Caenorhabditis elegans: one gene and its partner. The protein of the gene in region 2 purifies or fractionates together with the protein of the main gene of each other region. This does not show direct contact. Each region holds a gene or a part of one and is shown on either strand. Other genes may lie near its edges.

Region 1 (3,754 bases), on a different chromosome or scaffold from region 2:
TTTTCAGAACGATAAGCACCTTTTCATTATCACTGATCTCCACGTAGCGAGCTCTCGCAGCTGTCCATGATGCGGTTGTAGCCTGTGCTGATTTTCGAATCAAATCCATCTCCTTATCGTCTTTAACTGCGAACAGATGAGTAAACGCGAGAGTAACGTCATTCTTATTGACACCGCCTTCCTCGAGCGCCTTATTCCACGAACTGACGAATTCCGAGCTGAATTTCTCTTTGACGAAATTTCCAACATCTCCGCCTGCACTTTTGATGTGATCAATGAGCTTTTCAAAGTTTCCAGCGTCTTTATCGGTTTTATCGCGGAGCAGTGTGCTGACTGTTGGCACTTTTCCTGAGCTCTGATTGTCTCCAGTGACTGATCCGAAGAATTCGACTTTGCGATTACTTCCGAGAATGTAAATGTGATCATTGAGAAGCAACAGGACTGTGTCAGCGATTTCGTGGCCAAAAAGCCAGGTCTGAAATAAAAATTTGTCTTGAGTTTGAACAAAGTCTGAAAAATCCTTACAAATAGTTCGCTGGTCTTTGTATATGGATTATCAGTCTCTCCGTATACAAAAGCAAGTGATTTGATCGAATCTAGACCATCGGCTCCCTTCTCCTGTAAAATATTTGTAAAAAAGTAAAAACTATCAAAAACAGATCCAATGAAAATAAAATGGAACTCGGTAATTTTCAAACTCAATCTCACAATTTTTCGATGGAAAACATTTTAAAAATATAGCAATTCTACAGCTTTTATGGCAAAAAAATAGGGAAAAAATTAGAATTCAAAAATGTTCGTCGACAACAACGCAAAACCACAATCGTGTCGAGACCCATCCGAGTAAGCCGATGTCCCTTTAACCAACCCTATCGCGGTTTTTTTTTAAATTTTTAAAATTTCTTCAAATATTTCGTCCGTTTCTCTTGTGGACCGCTGTTAAAATAGTTAAATACTTTATTTTTCAGAAAACAGATAATTTATACCAAATTGACAGATGTAGAGCTAAACTCCTCAAAATTTTCTAAAGTTCTTATAATTTTACTGTTGTCTGCGTTTCAAGGCCTGAAATATTGTAGGCACTATCGTAGGATTACAACCGGATTTGTAACTTTGATTATCTGAAAAGGAAAAATATTAAACTTTTCTTTCAGGATTTTTCGCAATTGCCGGCGTAATAATTGCTAAAAGTCGACTTTAACTTCAATATATTTTAGCATTCCGAATCTGAAACTAGTTCCCAAATGCCATCTCTCCTTATCATTATAGTCTTCTTGCTGGTATTCTTGGAAATTGGATTTTTCCCTGTAATGTGTGGATGTTGGATGGATGTTTGTACACTTCCATTATTCAATATAACATTATCACAAAGAATTGCAACATTTGCCACAGCTCCATTCATGTCAATATTCCTTCATTGGATGGTTGGAATGATTTATGTATTTTATTCAGCGTCATTTGTGATTCTTCTTCGAGAAATCCTTCGTCCTGGTGTACTATGGTTTATGAGAAATCTCAACGATCCCGACTTTAATCCAATTCAAGAAATAATTGATCTACCGTTCACGCGGCATTTCCGAAGACTTGTTGTATCTACAACTCTGTTCTTTTCAACGATTCTTCTGACATCCTACATCCCGCTCAACATAATCTCATCACTTATTCCACATCTTCTACCCTACAGAAACTCCACTTTCTGAACTCTCGCTGGAATTGATGTTTCTTCAAGAATTCATCACAATTGTGTACTCTCACATGGCCCCTCCGTAAATAACATGGCGGGAATATTGCATGCGGAGTGGTTGCGAAAGTGCGTGCGGCTGTTGCGTTCCTTGACCACGCCCAACTTCATTCCATTCTTTTTCGCGCGCAATCCTCACTTTCAGCTCTAATTTTTCAGAGTTTACAGTTCTTCAGTGAAAAAATATTTGTCTCGTCAAAACGTTTTTTTCAAAATTTTAAAATTGTGTCAAAAAAAATTAATTTTTTCGCAAATTTCAAACTTTTAGCCTATCCGAATCCGTTGCTGGTCACTTTGTTTACGTTATCGATTTTTGCTTCCATCTCTCAATCCTCGTGACTTTAACACAATTTCTAACTTTCAGGGGAGAAATGTCTGGAAAACGGGCAGTTCTCAACAAGGATCTCTTTTTCCAGAGAGCGGAGAGGCTTTATGAGCACTGGGTTTGTGACTTTCAGGACTTTACGAATTTTTAATCAAATATTTTACAGGAGAAGGGAGCCGATGGTCTAGATTCGATCAAATCACTTGCTTTTGTATACGGAGAGACTGATAATCCATATACAAAGACCAGCGCACTATTTGTAAGGATTTTTCAGAATTTGTTCAAACTCAAGACAAATTTTTATTTCAGACCTGGCTGTTTGGCCACGAAATCGCTGACACAGTCCTGTTGCTTCTCAAAGATCACATTTACATTCTCGGAAGTAATCGCAAAGTCGAATTCTTCGGATCAGTCACTGGAGACAATCAGAGCTCAGGAAAAGTGCCAACAGTCAGCACACTGCTCCGCGATAAAACCGACAAAGACGCTGGAAACTTTGAAAAGCTCATCGATCACATCAAAAGTGCCGGCGGAGATGTTGGAAATTTCGTCAAAGAGAAATTCAGCTCGGAATTCGTCAGTTCGTGGAATAAGGCGCTCGAGGAAGGCGGTGTCAATAAGAATGACGTCACTCTCGCGTTTACTCATCTGTTCGCAGTGAAAGACGATAAGGAGATGGATTTGATTCGAAAATCAGCACAAGCTACAACCGCATCATGGACAGCTGCAAGAGCTCGCTACGTAGAGATCATTGATCAAGAAAAGGTGCTTATCGTTCTGAAAATAGTTGAACCAGGAGTCCGCTGCAAGCATTTCTACATAATTAGCCAGTTTTTGGTGATAGAATATAATGAAGCAGTTGATGTATCTGAAAATAGCTTTTAATTCAATTGAAAAAGCGGAAGAACTGCTCAAAATCAATCTGAAAGTTGGAAATCACCCGAAAATTAAACTTTCATGCAGTTTTTGAGCGTTCTTCCAGTTGTTTCAATTAAATGTAAAGCTATTTTTAGATGACTAAACTGTTTTTCCTTTTATCTATCACCAATAACTGGCTCATTTTTTAGTACTCCTGGGAAAACCACTGTTTTAATCCCGAGAAAATAATTCTTTTTTATTTTTGCAGCGAGTCCGTCACTCTGTTCTCTCCAATGAGTTTGCCGCCTTCATGAAGGATTCAAAAGTACAACAGGCACTGGCCAAGTATGAAGCCGACACATGCTATGATCCAATCGTAATGTCCGGTGGAAATTACTCGTTCAAATGGAATCATGAAAGCTCGGAATCTCATCTTCACAGCCAGTTTGGAACGATCATCACTTCGTTCGGAGCTCGTTTATCAGAATATTGCACAAATTTGACGCGAACTATGCTCATCTTCCCATCTTCTGAACTTGAGACTGCCTATGAAGCGATTCTTGCCGCCGAGCTGGCAGTAATTGCTGCTCTGAAGCCAGGAGCCAAGCTGAGCGATGTTTATAAAATTGGAATCGATACATTGACGGAGAAAAGTCCAAAACTTGCTGAAACTCTGAACAAGAAAGAGCTTGGATTTGCGACTGGAATCGAATTCCGTGAGAGTCGTCTTGCTATCAGTGCGAAGTGTGACGAGGTTGTCAAAGCAGGAATGGTCTTCATCGTTTATATTGGTGTCGATAGTATTCCAAACAAAAATAAAGGAGAAAAAG
Region 2 (3,754 bases):
TTTCCAGTTCCCTTTTGTCCAGCAGAATCACGAATCTTTGGAACAATTGGCTCTCCTTGCTCGTCACGGTATTTCAAAATATTAGCGGTGATTTCAATAAGGAAAGATTCCAATTCTCCTTTATTCCAATCATCAAGAACTTCAGCCATTTGATCGTGATTCAGCTCGACGGCCTTGCTCAGAAGATGATATGCTTCAGCTATCAGTTGCATGTCTCCATATTCAATTCCATTATGAACCATTTTCACGAAGTGACCGGATCCAGCGTTTCCTACCCAATCACAGCATGGTTCTCCGTTTGACTTGGCAGCGATCTTTTGGAAGATGTCTTTCAGATGTGGCCAGGCTTTTGGATTACCTCCTGGCATAAGAGATGGTCCAAAACGAGCTCCTGAAATTATATAACATACTTAATTGTGTACTAATTTTGAATCGAAAATGAAATCATCCGTGCATTCTGTGCTTATCTAGAGCACAGCTAAGACTGATATCATGTTCGGAACATTTTTTGAACGGGTCTAAAACTGTTATATCGCATTGCTTTCTAATTAGAAAAAAACTATTCAAGATGTTCTAATACACCAACTTCCGTGTTGTTTTTACTATACGATTGTAGCGCTTACCAAATGCATATAAAATATTCTTCTGACTATTTTTGTATTTATTATCTTTTACATTTTATATTCTCTCTTGAGAAACCGCTATTAGTTTTATGTATCAGATATCTCGTTTCACACATATTTACCAGACTAACAATTATGAACATATCCGTTACCGCATTTCTTTCAATTTCCTTGTGTTTCTAATCAACATACGTATCAGCGAGAAGCCGACATAGGATGGGGAATTGGCTCTCTATGTCTTCTTTTTCTTTTATTGGAAATGGAGGGGTGGTTGTAGAAAATTGGCAGTTTTTTTTGGAAGAAAAGAGAAGTTTTGTTTCTTTTTTTGGCACAACACCATCTGGTAGTCCAAGTACATAACTTTGTGACTAAACTTTGGAGACTAAACAAAATTTAAAGCTTTTAATCCAAATTAGCTAAGATACGACATTTATTAGGATTAAAATCGAACTGTGGTCTTTCTTAAATGTTCGGCAAGCAGTCATGACAAAGATTAAAACATAAATGTCTACACCCGAAATGCATGACAATTTCAATTCCATCTTTAATCCGTTAAATGCTTCCTCTTGTCATTCTCCCCTGCCATCCACCCAAACGACTTTCGATCCATTTTTTCTTGGATGTCAAGGGTTTCAGTCCCTTGTTTCCAATTTCCCGTGCCCTTTCTCTCACTGATTTTTTTCTTCATTTTTTCGCCCATTTCTCCAGATGTCTTTCTCTCGGGATTCACAACGACAACGACGATAAAACATCTAACGCTTTGGTCGATAAAGGCTGTAAGCACGGAGAGTGCTATTAAGCAAGAAGAGATTCATCTCTTGTCAGCTCTCACTAGTGAATACCTACAAATACCTACTAATTAGCTTCTCAATTCATACAAGATGATGCGAAGGTTATTTCTCCGAAGTTATACTTTTGGTGAGTGATGTAAATAAATATATAAGTAATTTCTTCAAATTTATATTCCTTTTGGAAATTTATTCATAAATTCATCTCTCCTCAAAATATATGTCACATCTCAATGCGCATTCAATTAGAGCTCTTCTCTTTTTCAATCATACACTTGCATGTATAGGTATCTCAAAACTCCTCCTCGTTGTCAGATTCTCTACTTCTCACAGACTATTTCGCGACCAAATTTCCTGATTTCATTCTACGCCCTCAGACAGGAAAGACAAAGCACTCATATTTTTTGTTAGTCTTAAATCTCGCAGCAGGTGTATTGCAAATGATTTCATATAAAAAGTGATGTTTCGAGTATTTCCATGGTCCGGATCATATTCTAGTAGTGCTGGTAAGTCTGTGTTCTGATTACATGTTCTGCTAAACCTAATATTATCAAAAATAAAATAGCAAGTGTGAAATTTTCGAGAAGTTTCAAAAATACTTTCGTATATACACAAGAATTCTTATTTTTGATTGAAGTCTGGAAGTCATATGTATTTCATATTTTCTCATAACACTATTTTCAAATAACATTCGCCAAAAGATAACATAATTACCGTTGCTGGAAAAGTAGGCAAAATTTAGCAAATTTTATCATTGAAAAAACTCGAAAAAGCAGAAGAAACAAAGAAAGATACTTGGAATTATCATATTACAACGAGTTTTCAAGTTCTTCTAATTGTATTTTATTTTTATTTCTAGTGAGGGAGAATAATTATAGCTCGAGAAGATCTAGATTCATGTGTTTAATTTTGTCGTTTCTTTTCATTTCTCTTGGTTTTCTTAAAAAATAAGGAAGCATATGGCGACCCAGACTCTTTTCTCCAGTGGCGACCCAGACTCTTTTCTAAAATTTCCACTTGGCATGTAATCGGAAACCTAGCAACACAAGTTTTCCTGTTGCTTCGCCTTCTGAATGCTTTTCCATGGGCACCCATTCAAATACTTCTTCTCTCACGCCCGTCTCACTCGTTCGTCCTGCGTCTCCAAACTTTTCTCCTGTCCCCATTCATCTCTGCACTTGCCCATTTCCCTTTGCACACCGAAATCTACATAACATTATATAGCACCACCAACACCAGAGTCGTCCGTTATACTTGTTCGTCATTTTATCATCGGACAAAAACGAGCGAATTGCACACGAAAAACGCGGGCTTTCTGACATACAAAAGTGCGCGCTCTTCCCTCCCGTTCCTATACTTGAAGCCTCTGATAGAGTCCGTCGCTATTGGATTTATGTTCTCTATTTTCAATATGCATTTCGAAGCTTAGTTGGTTGAAACGAAGCAATAAGCCAAGTTATTTAATTCATACAGTAAATGGGTAAGACTGAGAAACATTTGAGTTGAAATCTAGTATTCTACATTTATTTGGACGTATCAATTTCTTTTAGATGCCAACACTCCCTCTGCATCTGGAGGTGATCCAAAATCAGGAGATTCTTCAAGTGAGAAGCAATCACATCAAACTCCTACTCGACACCCTCCATGGCTCCGTTCTTCCTCTCAACCTGCCACGTGGCGTAACAGCGCCTCATGTAAGCCTCTAATCCTTCCCCGACTTAATCCTATTGTTCTGACACCCATTACACTTCATTTCAGTCAACGAGATCAGTGACGGCAATTGGACATACTGCATTGAAACGCAAAATACTGCGTAAGTGATTACTTTTTTTTCATCATTCATTGAACATATGATATTTAGCCCTGCTGTAAAAGGATTTGGGAATGTTCCAATTGTCAGTTACGACGTTATTGAAGCTATGGGTGATAGAAAACTGAAAGTATGTACCGTGACATGGAACATTAACGAAAAAGGTGTGAAAATATTGAGCCATCTCGCTCAGAAAATAGCAGAACGAGGACAAGAAATGGATAGTGATATATTTTTCATCTCATTGCAAGAAATACCTTCCACAGCACCGTTAGTTCCGAAAACTATTAATTTTCGATTAACTAAAATCAGTTTCAGAACTTTTCATGAAGAAGCATTACGAATTCTTGAGCCAGTTCTCAATGGTCATCGTCTGTACCTTTCACATAGAGCCTGGAGTCAAATGGTAATAGTCTTCATTCGACAGAAACATCTTCGATATGCAATCCGTGAGTTCAGATCTTATAATCTAGAATCTAATAGTTTAAAATTTCTAGAACCACAAGTATCATTTATCGCATCTGGTGCAATGG

Evidence for each region.
Region 1: the proteins of inpp-1 (region 2) and spt-16 fractionate together in Caenorhabditis elegans (co-fractionation; one large-scale study listed by BioGRID). This does not show direct contact.

What each region holds. Positions count from the first base shown.
Region 1 is NC_003279.8:10,787,025-10,790,778, forward strand, and holds the start of spt-16 (FACT complex subunit spt-16), read left to right. Parts: upstream 1-2,105; 5' UTR 2,106-2,112; coding exon 2,113-2,184; intron 2,185-2,232; coding exon 2,233-2,325; intron 2,326-2,375; coding exon 2,376-2,831; intron 2,832-3,192; coding exon 3,193-3,754. UniProt on the Caenorhabditis elegans protein: Component of the FACT complex, a general chromatin factor that acts to reorganize nucleosomes. The FACT complex is involved in multiple processes that require DNA as a template such as mRNA elongation, DNA replication and DNA repair.
Region 2 is NC_003282.8:10,771,498-10,775,251, reverse strand, and holds the start of inpp-1 (Inositol polyphosphate-related phosphatase domain-containing protein), read left to right. Parts: upstream 1-1,805; 5' UTR 1,806-1,871; coding exon 1,872-1,917; intron 1,918-2,504; exon of another isoform or gene 2,505-2,887; coding exon of another isoform or gene 2,888-2,891; intron 2,892-2,961; coding exon 2,962-3,105; intron 3,106-3,169; coding exon 3,170-3,224; intron 3,225-3,272; coding exon 3,273-3,491; intron 3,492-3,539; coding exon 3,540-3,670; intron 3,671-3,718; coding exon 3,719-3,754. Other genes in the region: T25B9.9 (6-phosphogluconate dehydrogenase, decarboxylating), read right to left, coding at 1-391.